Linked DNA regions of Mus musculus: region 1 is reported to be linked to region 2. Evidence: microRNA targets listed by miRTarBase, many of them from high-throughput screens and not tested one by one. Region 2 holds a microRNA gene; the other region holds the end of a gene's coding sequence. Distances are from middle to middle.
What was found. The annotated mature microRNA mmu-miR-491-5p reads AGUGGGGAACCCUUCCAUGAGG and lies in region 2 at 1,843-1,864, shown strand. An mRNA with a match to its seed (bases 2 to 7 or 8) in the 3' UTR can be bound and repressed. Matches are read on the target gene's strand: a 7mer-m8 pairs with bases 2 to 8, a 7mer-A1 pairs with bases 2 to 7 and ends in A, and an 8mer does both.

Region 1 (5,528 bases), 42 Mb from region 2:
ATATTCCCGGAGTCGCTGAGTCGTGTCCCCCCCCCCAGCACCCCCCAACAGTACCTGCCTGGGTCTGTACCCCACCTGAACCCCACTGTGCCCTAGGTGGTGTTCCGATATGCTCTGGCCATCTTCAAGTACAATGAGGAAGCGATCCTGCAACTCCAGGACAGCCTGGAGATCTACCAGTACCTGCGTTTCTTCACCAAGACCATCTGCGACAGCCGGTGAGCTGTCCGCCCCCTCTGTATCCTTGTATGGCAAGCAAGCTCCAAAGCCCACCTTCACCCTCCCATCAAGACCCAGGGTGTGGGACAACCAACCCACCACTGGCTCTGCCCCTAGGAGCCTCCTGGCTCCCTTCTCCCACTGCTCCTCCATTATCTTGAGCCTGGTCCCTATCCTCAAAGCTAAGCTCTCATGTGCCTCCTCCAGGAAGCCCTCCAGAGCTGCCCTTCCTTTACTGGATCAGGTACCTGCCTAGCTCCCTCCAGCCTCAGCTCTAGGTGGGAATAGTCTCCCCCACCCCCATCCCCGGAAGGTTAGCTCCAGAAGGCAGGACCACCATTCTAGGGTGGACGGATGTCAGGACCTGGCCGAAACTGGTAACCTTGCCCTGGCCGACTGTACCTTCCTTTCAGGAAGCTCATGAGCATAGCCTTCAATGACATGAACCCATTTCCCATGAAGCAACTGCGGCAGCTGCGGGCAGCCCACCGAGAGCGACTGGAGGCGGAGCTGCGCGAGCTAGAGCTGCTGAAAGTGGAGTACTTGCAGAGACGGGCATCCCTGGGCAGAGCACCGCCAGAGGGCTGCGTCAGCGAGGACGAAGGAGAAGGCGACAGCTGACCGAGCCCTCTGTCCCCAAAGCCTTTCTCACCTTTGCTGGCAGGAAGATAGAGTTCAGCCATGGGCGGGAGGTGTGTGTGACCCTGGACCAGGCCTTTGCCCTCTCCAGGCCTTAGTCTCCCAGGCTTGCCAGCCTGTGTCACTGCCCCACAGAGCACTTTCACACACAGGACAGGAGGCAGGGATACATGCTGGGTCACCTGACCAGTCTCTGAGAGGCACCACCATTTCCATTCCGTTTGGATTTCGTCTTCTGACCAGGTCTCGAGGAACTCAGGCTGACCTCAGACTCCATGCAGGATCCTCCTGTCAGAGCCATGATGACATAAAGCAACATCCTTGCAGTTGATGGCGCTCCACCTTTAGGACAGAAGCCGTCTCATTACCAGGGCTCCTCGGCACAAGTGTCAGGAATGTTCCCGCTGGCACCCTCTGGCTCCAGGCCTTGGTCACCATTATGTGGCACCCCAAGTTCAAGGCCTGCATTTTCAGGGCATCTGTCTTTCCAGACAGTAGCCCCCCTGAGTTGCCACCTGGATCTGTGTGTTGAGATCGCCCTGCTCATAGGGACTATCTCTACAGCCTCATGCCTAAAGCTTGCCTTCTGTTTACAGCCCACTGGGTCATCCCAGGGGAGCCCCTGCCTGCTACCCTGAGGAACCTGATGTGGACTGGACAGTGGACCTGGAGCAAGCATCCACTCTGGCCTGCATCTGGCCTGTGGGGCCAACAGGGTAGGCTTGGGAGGGGAGCAGGGCAGCAGCCCACTCGGCTCACCAGAGCCAGTTGGTAAGCAGCCTTACATGGAGGGGACATGGCTAGGTGATGACCGGCTCTCCCAAAAGCCACCACCAAAAAGCCAAAAACAGGTTGAACTGTGGGCACAGGCTGCTGGATAAACAGTGCCCTTTCTACTACTCCCCCACCAAGCCACAGCCCCCACCTCTCCTCTTCCTCAACTCTCCCTAGAGGAGAACTCTGCCAAGCACTTGCGCTTCTCCTTGGGGGACCAACGCAGCTTTCTTACCAAGCTGCACTGTGTTCCAGCAGTGCTGGGCCTTGTGTTCAGCTACTCTTGGAGCCAGGAGGCTTAACCCTGGGGGGTAAGTGTTCTGGGATTAATTGCCTCCTCCAGCCCTGAACGAGCAGGCCAAGCTCCAGTAACAGGACTCAGAGAACTTAGTGTAGTGTCACACAGAAGGGGAGGGCGGCTCTGGCCGTGACTGCCTGTGGGCATACCCACAGGGTCAACTCTAGGAAAAGAAAAGGGGGAGTCAGGTGTGGGGTACACACTTCAGATCCCAGCAGTTCCAACACTGGACTACACAGCCAAACAGTGTCTCAAAAACCAAATAAATAAGAGAAAAACGATGAGTGTCTGGGCTGCCTGAACTGGAACAGAAACAAACAAGGGGTGCGGGCGAGCCTGAGACTCTCTGGGCTGCTGCTGGGGCAGAGCCTGCCCCTCCCTCAGGGCCTGGGGCCTACCCCTAGTGTCAGGTTCCTTGCTCGCCCCACAGCTGCTGCCCCTTCCCCAGGGGCCACTGCTTCAGAGGCTGGAAGATCTGATGCCACAGCCCCACCTTCCTACCCAGAACAGAGATGGAACTCCATGATCGACCCCTCCCACCCCTGGACCAGCAGGCCTTCTCAGAGAACAAAGGGACAGGGGCCTAGAGACCCCAAAGACTGGATGTGAGAGGGATACGCCCCCAAACTACTTTGTTCAAGCTTATATCCCAAATAGACCCTTGCCCAGGGGCTATCTTCTCCCAGTACAACACACACACACACACACACACACACACACACACACACACGGCCACATTCTACAGGACAAGTAGAAAGTCAATCAGTGATGTCTCCCAACCCAACACGTCCCATAGTGTCTGACCCCATAGTGTCTGAGCAGGCCCTGGTAGGCTGTGTCCCCTTGTGTGTAACTTAGGGGTTGTCAGGGGCTGCCTTCCACACCTGAGGTAGGATTAGGAACCGGTAAGAGGACACAGGGAAAGCCCCTCCCCAGACACAGAAGAGGCATGCCAGGTTCCAGGTCTCCCCTCTGATTTACGGGTCCACGTGCCCACAGTCCCCCAGATAATCCTGTCAAACAAGCCTGTCCCAACAGACAACTGGCCTGGCACCATGAAAAAAGAGTTTCTTTTAAGATGATTTTGAAAGAGACCTTCCAAAGGAGATGATGCGAGCGGGAGCTTGGGAATGATGCTGAGAGAGAGAGGACCACCAGACCCTAGCCTCCGCCTTTACTGTGTTGGGGCATCCAGATGAGTCAGCCTGCTCCAGGGTAAAGCCAAGTCAGAAACACTGTGGTGGGCCTGGCATGGTGGCCCCAGCCTTTAGGAGGTAGACAGGAGAATGAGTTCATGGGTTCTTCTTAGTTCATAGACAGTCTAAGACCGACCTGGGCTATGTGGGACCCTCCTTAAAAAAATTAATAAATGGGCTGGTAAAATGCCTAAGAGGGTGATAGTGCTGTCTCAGGAGCCAGGCAGCCTGAGACCTGTCCCCAGGAACCATGTAAAAAGCTGAATGCAGCCCTCCTACTTGGAGATGGGAGGCATCTGATATATTGCCCGATAGCTCAGGGACAGTCAGCCAGGAATATGTAGCATTGCAGAAATAAGATGAAAGGAAAGAACTAACTTCTGAAAGTTTGCACACACACACACACACACACACACACACACACACACTCGTTAAAAAGTGACAAAAATGTTTTAGATTACCATGGACCCTTGAGGGCAAAGGTCCAACTGCTGCGGTTGTGCGCTGTGTGCTTCTGCCAGTGCAGCTCCAAGCGGGATGCAGGGGGAATTCAGACGTGGGAAACCCACAGCTCTAGGAAGAAAACCGGCCCAGGGCCCTGTGGTTCAGCAGGAACTAGAGGAAGGCTTTAGCGACTGCTGTTCTAAAGTGATCAAGGACTCACCAGAGCTGAGTGTGGTGGTGTAGTCCTACAATCCCAGCTCCTAGAGGCTGAGGGAGGAAGATGGCTAGTTCAAAGCCAACCTAAGCAATTTAGTGAACTCTTGTTTCAGAAAAAGAGGAGAGGTCTCACAGTGTAGCTCAAAGGTAGAATACTTGCCTGGCAAGCATATGCACGGTCCTAATGTTCAATCCCACCATCACAAATCATACACACACACACATTAAATTTGTTATAGAGCCTACCAAGAACTCAGCTAAAGTCTCAACTTCTTGTCTATGAAATGGGAGTATTATGACTACATTGAAGGCGTTGGTAGATCAAATGTAATAAATTGTGTTCTTAGTTAACAATATATACAATACCTACTTTGTGCCAGGTACAGTGCTAGTCTCCCTCCTCCCCCCCGCCCCCCACCAAACACATCACTACAAGACACGAAGAACACTTTCCAAGACAGGTGGTGTGGCGTGGTTATTATGAAAGATATGACGTCCTATCTTCCATATTCAGTGAGCACCCGGCTGAAAGAGGGAGCGGCTTGGACGCAGCGCCCCCTAATGGCAGCAGTGGGAAGGATCTCCCGGATGCGCAGCCGCCCTCCGCTCTCCAGTTCTCCCGCCGCCTGCAGAGCTGCGGTCCCGGCGCTCGCTGCGGGATCCAGCTTCGAGCCATCTGGGAGGCAGGCGCGATGACAGTCTCCATCTCAGCAAGGGGAAACTGAGGTTCGGGACCCGAGTCCCACCCAAAGCCTGCGGCGAGAGCGTGTCGGAGGCGAGAGTGTGTGCACGCGGGACGGGAACCGAGCTGCGGGCGACGGGCGGCGCACAGGCGGGGCCTCTCCGTCCCGCCCCGCCCCGACCCCGCCCGGCCCGGTCCCGCCCGCCGGGCTGCGCGGGGAGGCGGCGGCACTGGGCGCGGGGACTCGGCGGGCGGCGCGAAGCGCGGAGCGGGAGCCGGAGCCGCCGCCGCCGCCACCTGCGCGGCAGCCAACAAGGTAGGGTGGGACCGGGCCGGGCGGGACGCTCGCTGCGCCCGGGCTGCGGCTCTGTGGCGGGAGGGATGCTGTCCCCGGCGTCGCGGAGACCTATCCTCCAGACCCCCGCACGATCTCACACAAAGCTCTGCCCCGCTCCAGTCCTCAGTTTCCCCATCGGGATACTGGTGCGGCCGCTCCCTCAGTGGGTGACTAGGAGCAGCGACCCCCAGGTTCGCGCTCCAGAGGTTAGGGGCCAGTCCTTACCGCCCGCGCCTCTTGCGGCGGTGAGCGGCCCGCCCTGGGCGCGGCAGCCAGTCTCGACAGGCCCCGGTGTGGCCCAGGTGCCCCGTGGACCCGAGTCGTGATTGTTCCTGTCCTGGCTGGGTTACCCGCGGGGGCCTCAGCTTCCAGTCCCGGGAAACGGTGGAGGAGGAAGCATCCCTGAGTCCCTGCCGAGGCGACCTGGGCGCGCGGGTGGGGCGAGCAGTCTGCTACCCAGACCAGGCTCATCGCCTGGAGCTGGAGGAGGAGCCCCGCGCTGGCAATGGCCAGATCTCAGCCTCAGACCTGCCTGGACCCGAGCCGAGCAAACACCCACCTGCATTCGGGCAATGGAGAAGGACGTCCTGGTCCGCGCCCTGGCCAGCTGCCGGAGCCCAGTTCTGCGTACCAGCCTGGTGGGACAGGGTTGGTACTACCACACTCGGTCCTCAGTCCACTTGCCAGGAAAACAGTGTCTCCGGGGGTTGGGGGACTGAGCAT
Region 2 (5,000 bases):
TTTAACTGTGTAGTTTTGATGGGCTTCTTGCTGGCAGAGTTCTGAAACCTCTCATGAGTCATATGGCAACAAACAAGAAACAAGGAGTGTGTTTGAGTCATTTCTGAGCTGTGTCTTCCTCCTCCTCCTCTTTTTTCTTTTTTCTTTGAGACAGGGTTTCTGGCTGGCCTGGAACTTGATCTGTATGTAGACCAGGTTGGCCTCAAATTCAGAGATAAGTCTGCATGGGAGTTGGGTAAAGTGGGCCTTTTATTCTGTGTCCTCTTCTCTGTCCCCCTCCTCTTTTTGAGAACAGTAGGACTGAGAGTTTGGTGTAAACAAAAACCACTGGTGCTGATTCCTCGTTTGTTCTTTTAACAGACAAGTAGTTTGTTTGGATGTGCAGGATTTGAGGGCACAGCTGAACTTCCTGTAGTTCAGCTGCAGTTGGATTCTTGCTGAGATCAAAGCTGGTATCAAAAGGAGGTGTAAGCTTAAACAATCTTGCCACAGTTTGACTCCCCCTTAAAAAAGACTTTTTAAAAAAGACTTATTTATATTTTATCTCATATGTATGCAGGAATGCCCGAGTGTATGTGTACCCTGTGCATGCCATGCAGGTGCCCAGATGTTGTGAGCTGTCCTGTGGGTGCTGGCAGTTGAACCTCAGTTTTTTTGCATTGGAAGCATATGCTCTTAACCACTGAGCCCTTCCTTTTTGAGCCCTCTCTTGTACGTTTTAATTCAAGAAAGGATTAACTTTTATTTTAAGTAGGTGGTTGAGCTTTGGAATTAAAATAATTTGCTTTTTAATGGTTCTGCTATATGAATTCATCTGTCTCAGGATTAACGTGTAGGAAAACACGGAGTTGTTGGACATTTTTAGTTTGTTTATCTATGATATTTTCTGAGCATTGAAGTGGTTAACAGAAAAGGTTATGCTAAGAAGTATCTGCAGGGGTTCCTGCTTTATTTCCATTGTTGGCTTTTAAAATTACTTTTATACTCTTTGAGGAATAATTGGTTTGAACTCCAAGGCAATTAGATGGTTAATACATCTCTTGTTTTGATTACAGAAACTGTGCATAAACCTGTGAGAGAAGCAAAGATGTCAGATGACATCAAGAAAAGGTTTGATTTTCCGAATTCTCTTATCCAGTCTCAGGTAATTTTTATTTATTTTTCCTTCATGGTAACAAAAGCACACTTTTGATGGACCATAAATTGAACTTTGTATTTTCACATGAAATATTTTCTTCTACTCATGGCTTATTGTAGTAAGCAACATTATATGACTAGTAAGTATATTTCAATTAGAGAAACTAATATTTAAACTTGTTCAATTTCAGCTTCTTGTTGTTTTCATATATTTTTCCCTTAGAAATAATCTTGATTAGTAGATTTTTGAATGTGGTTATTCTTTTTGCATATGTTTAATAATTGGGAACAGTGATAGATGGTTTCTTATATATCTCCACAGAGTATCAAAGATTAATGTTTAAAATGATATATTCTACCTCTCTACAGCTATTAAGAGTACTAGATTTCAGAATAATGATATTCAATAATTAAAGCATTCTGGATTAATGTAATATGTACCTGCTGAGATGGGAAATCGGGATAATTTAATTTACAGAGCTTTTCAATAATTAAGACAAGTGTTAAAGCAGTGGTGGTTTCTATCTGCTAGCTAAGTAGGCACATTCTAATAAACCTTGGTACCATAAGAGCTTAACATCTCTTCCTATGAGTAAAGCTAAACAGCCAGTGAAAGCCAGTCTGAAGACTTAACCCCGAAAGCCTCGTGGATGCTTCAGCAGTTGCCCTCGGAGATGCCTGCTGTGGGAATTGACTTAGCTGGGAAGTGGGGAACCCTTCCATGAGGAGTAGAACACTCCTTATGCAAGATTCCCTTCTACCTGACTGAGTTGAAGTCATATCCTGCTCTGTGCAACACAGGCCCTTCCCCTGAAGAAGAAGATGAGGAAGATGCTGTTCACAGTCTCCATTCTTCTGTACCTACATAACCTTCATTAACATAATAAAAAGGAAATGGTGACATGTGTTACAGTTAATTTAAGAAAAATGTGTATATGTCTTGGTTATTGTATATTTCAGTCTGGCTATGGAATGAAGTAGCAAGGTAGCATAATGTGTCAGCTGTGTGGGTGTCTCAGAACCATGTAGGCTCCTTAGGCTAGTATCTCTGATGTTTTAAAAGATGAATGAAACAGAAGATCAGAGAAATTGAATCTTCTGAGTGGGGAGATGTGAAACATGCAGTGTATTTTCTTTTAGTCCTTTTTCTAAATGAGGACAGTAGCTTTTTTTATATGTCTCTGTTGCATTTCATCTTGGTTCTTAGGTTCTCATGAGTGTGCCCTGTCCTCATGAGTCATATACCAACTGTTCTTTCAAAACCACTGCTTTGAGACAGGACCATATCCCCTTGACTGGCACTCAGCCCTTTTGCATTTTGGTGATTAGATGATCGAGCAGCTGCTGACAGCAGCTGAGCTACAGTGGGTAGTGCGTGTACACTTGTGAGCTTGTCCATTATTTTCTAAGTGACTCTAGAAGAGTTCTATGATCAATCTAAAATCAAAAATTCAAATTACAGGCAGCACTGTGTATCGTAGATTGATTGGCAGCCATGTTTATTTTTTGCTGATGAGTTATGTTGCATCCTTTGAGCTGATGGCCAGATATTCAATGACACATACAGTATAGTTTGTGAAATACAAACTTAGGGTTCAAACTCATGGCTCCTCAGTTTTCTTATCCTTTGGCTAGGAGATAAGAGACAGCAAATTGAACTGCAGTTTGCATTTATGTAAGTGAGTGATTTATTTCTCAAAATTCAGGTATAGAGGTCTTAAATCATTTGAACATTTGAACACATGCACATGTGCAGGAGGGGAGCGGGTGCGGTGTAGTTCTTTGAGCTCTTCTAGAGATTTCCCAAAACTGACAGCTGTTTTCAGCACTATTGTAAGTGGTCCCAAGTTCAGGATATACAGTTGTAGTAGTGGAAATTTCCCTAGCTGCATACAGAATAGTTACCATTGTTGCCAGCCAATTTCCTGTCAGTCAGCAGTGCTGGTTAGGCCTGAAGAACAGGGCCTGACACTGAGGCAGAGGAGGTGACATTTATGTATTTGTGTAATCAACTCTCTTAGAGCTTGATTTTCATTTTGGGCTCTTTGACTAAAGCAGAATGTGGGAAATTTTTAAGAGATTTGAGAGACTGAAAACTTAAGACCCAAAACCTATTAGGAAGGGATAAATAAATTAATATAGGGCTATGAAATGGCTCAGTGGGTAAAGACAGTTTGCATTAAGCCTGAGGATGACCTGAGTTTGAATCTCTGGACCCATATGGTGGAAAATGAGAAGTGACTTCTCCAAGTCGTCTTCTCTCCTCCTCATGTGGGTAGTAGCACATACCTGTGTACATGCACACACACACACACACACACACACACACACTCACACATACACACACACATACACATACACACACACACTCACATGTACACACACATACTCACACATACACACTCACACACACATACACACACACACACACTCACACATACACACACACACACTCACACATACACACACACACTCACATACACATACTCACACCTATACTCACACACACATACACACACTCACACACACACATTCACACATACACACACACACTCACACACACTCACACATACACATACACACACACACACATACACACACACACTCACACACACTCACACATACACATACACACACACACACATACACATACACACACACACACATACACACATAAACACACTCACACACACCTCCGCACATGCAAATGAACTTTAGAAAAAATGAAAATAGTAGGGTCTAGAGGAGGGAGAAGAGTGTAGAGGAAGGGAGAGATATTCTTCAGGTCTGTACAGGCTGTATCCATAAAAGTGAGGGTGAATTTTTCTTCATTTTCACAAAGGTCACCATGAAACATGACAGATTGGATTTAGATACAAAGGTTTTAAAGACTGTCTCATGTTTTAATGGATTATGTAATTCCAAATTATCTTTAAAAGTAGGTGAGAGGAATTTGAGCTGAAGGTTGATGTTGGCCTCGGTAGAGTATGGCTTGTGTAGTGCTGGGATATTTGACCTACTTTGAAGATTGCTCTGAGGATTTGGGTTACACATGTTGAGTGCCTCGTTCAGTGCTTTCTACATGGCACACAACAAAGGGACTTTCATCTTACCAGTTGACAACTTGGCTTGCTTATACATGAAAATGAATATGATGTTGATTCCCTTTCAGTGCACTCTTTGGAAAGAACTTCTAAGTGGATATCTTCATTAATTTTTTGTTGTTCTTCTTTTAGGCTGTAGGTCATCTTATTGCTGCTGTCTTAAAAGAACATGGTGTTTCAGAAAAGATACACCAATCCACAAACCAGGTCTGTGCTTAACCTTGTTGTTGTTGTTTTGTTGTTGTTTGTTGTGTGTGTGTGTACACCTGCCCCTGGCTAGCTTTTTGTTAAATAGATACCAGCCAGGATCATCTTGAGAGTAGGCAGCCTCAACTGAGAAAATGCACCTTTAGATTTGCCTGTGGGCAACCCTGTGGGACATTTTCTTGCTTAATAGCTGATGTGGGAGAGCTGAGCTTACTGTGGGAGGAGCCACCCCTGGGCAGGTGGTCCTGGGTTGTATCAGAAAGTAGGCTGAGCGAGCTAGGAGAGTAAACCAGGAATCACTGCTGCTTCATGGAGTCTGCTTCAGTTCACGCCCTGAGTTTATACTCTCCTTTCTCTTGATGATGGACCTTAAGCTGAAATACACCCTATTCTCACCTGGTTCTTTATGGTTGTGGTCCTTGTCACAGTAGTAGGAAGCAGTCTAAGATAATCTGCTTGCTTGTTTTATGTAGATGCTTGTGCTTGCCTGCAGGGCCACTCGCCCCTGGTTTCACTTGTAGTTCAGTTCAGATCTTGAACTGTAAGGAGGAG

Region 1: the mRNA of Tbc1d2 is a reported target of mmu-miR-491-5p. Seed matches in the 3' UTR shown: 7mer-A1 at 986-992.

The regions. Positions count from the first base shown.
Region 1 is chr4:46,601,073-46,606,600 of GRCm38, reverse strand. Tbc1d2 (TBC1 domain family, member 2) reads left to right here. Exons shown (of 13, transcript NM_198664.3): 12 at 97-218; 13 at 633-2,211. The coding sequence ends at 840. Coro2a (coronin, actin binding protein 2A) reads left to right here and starts at 4,672. Exons shown (of 12, transcript NM_001164804.1): 1 at 4,672-4,784.
Region 2 is chr4:88,120,215-88,125,214 of GRCm38, forward strand. It overlaps Mir491 (microRNA 491), which reads left to right and starts at 1,826; the gene lies at 1,826-1,911. Focad (focadhesin) reads left to right here. Exons shown (of 44, transcript NM_001081184.1): 2 at 1,056-1,144; 3 at 4,374-4,448. The coding sequence starts at 1,088.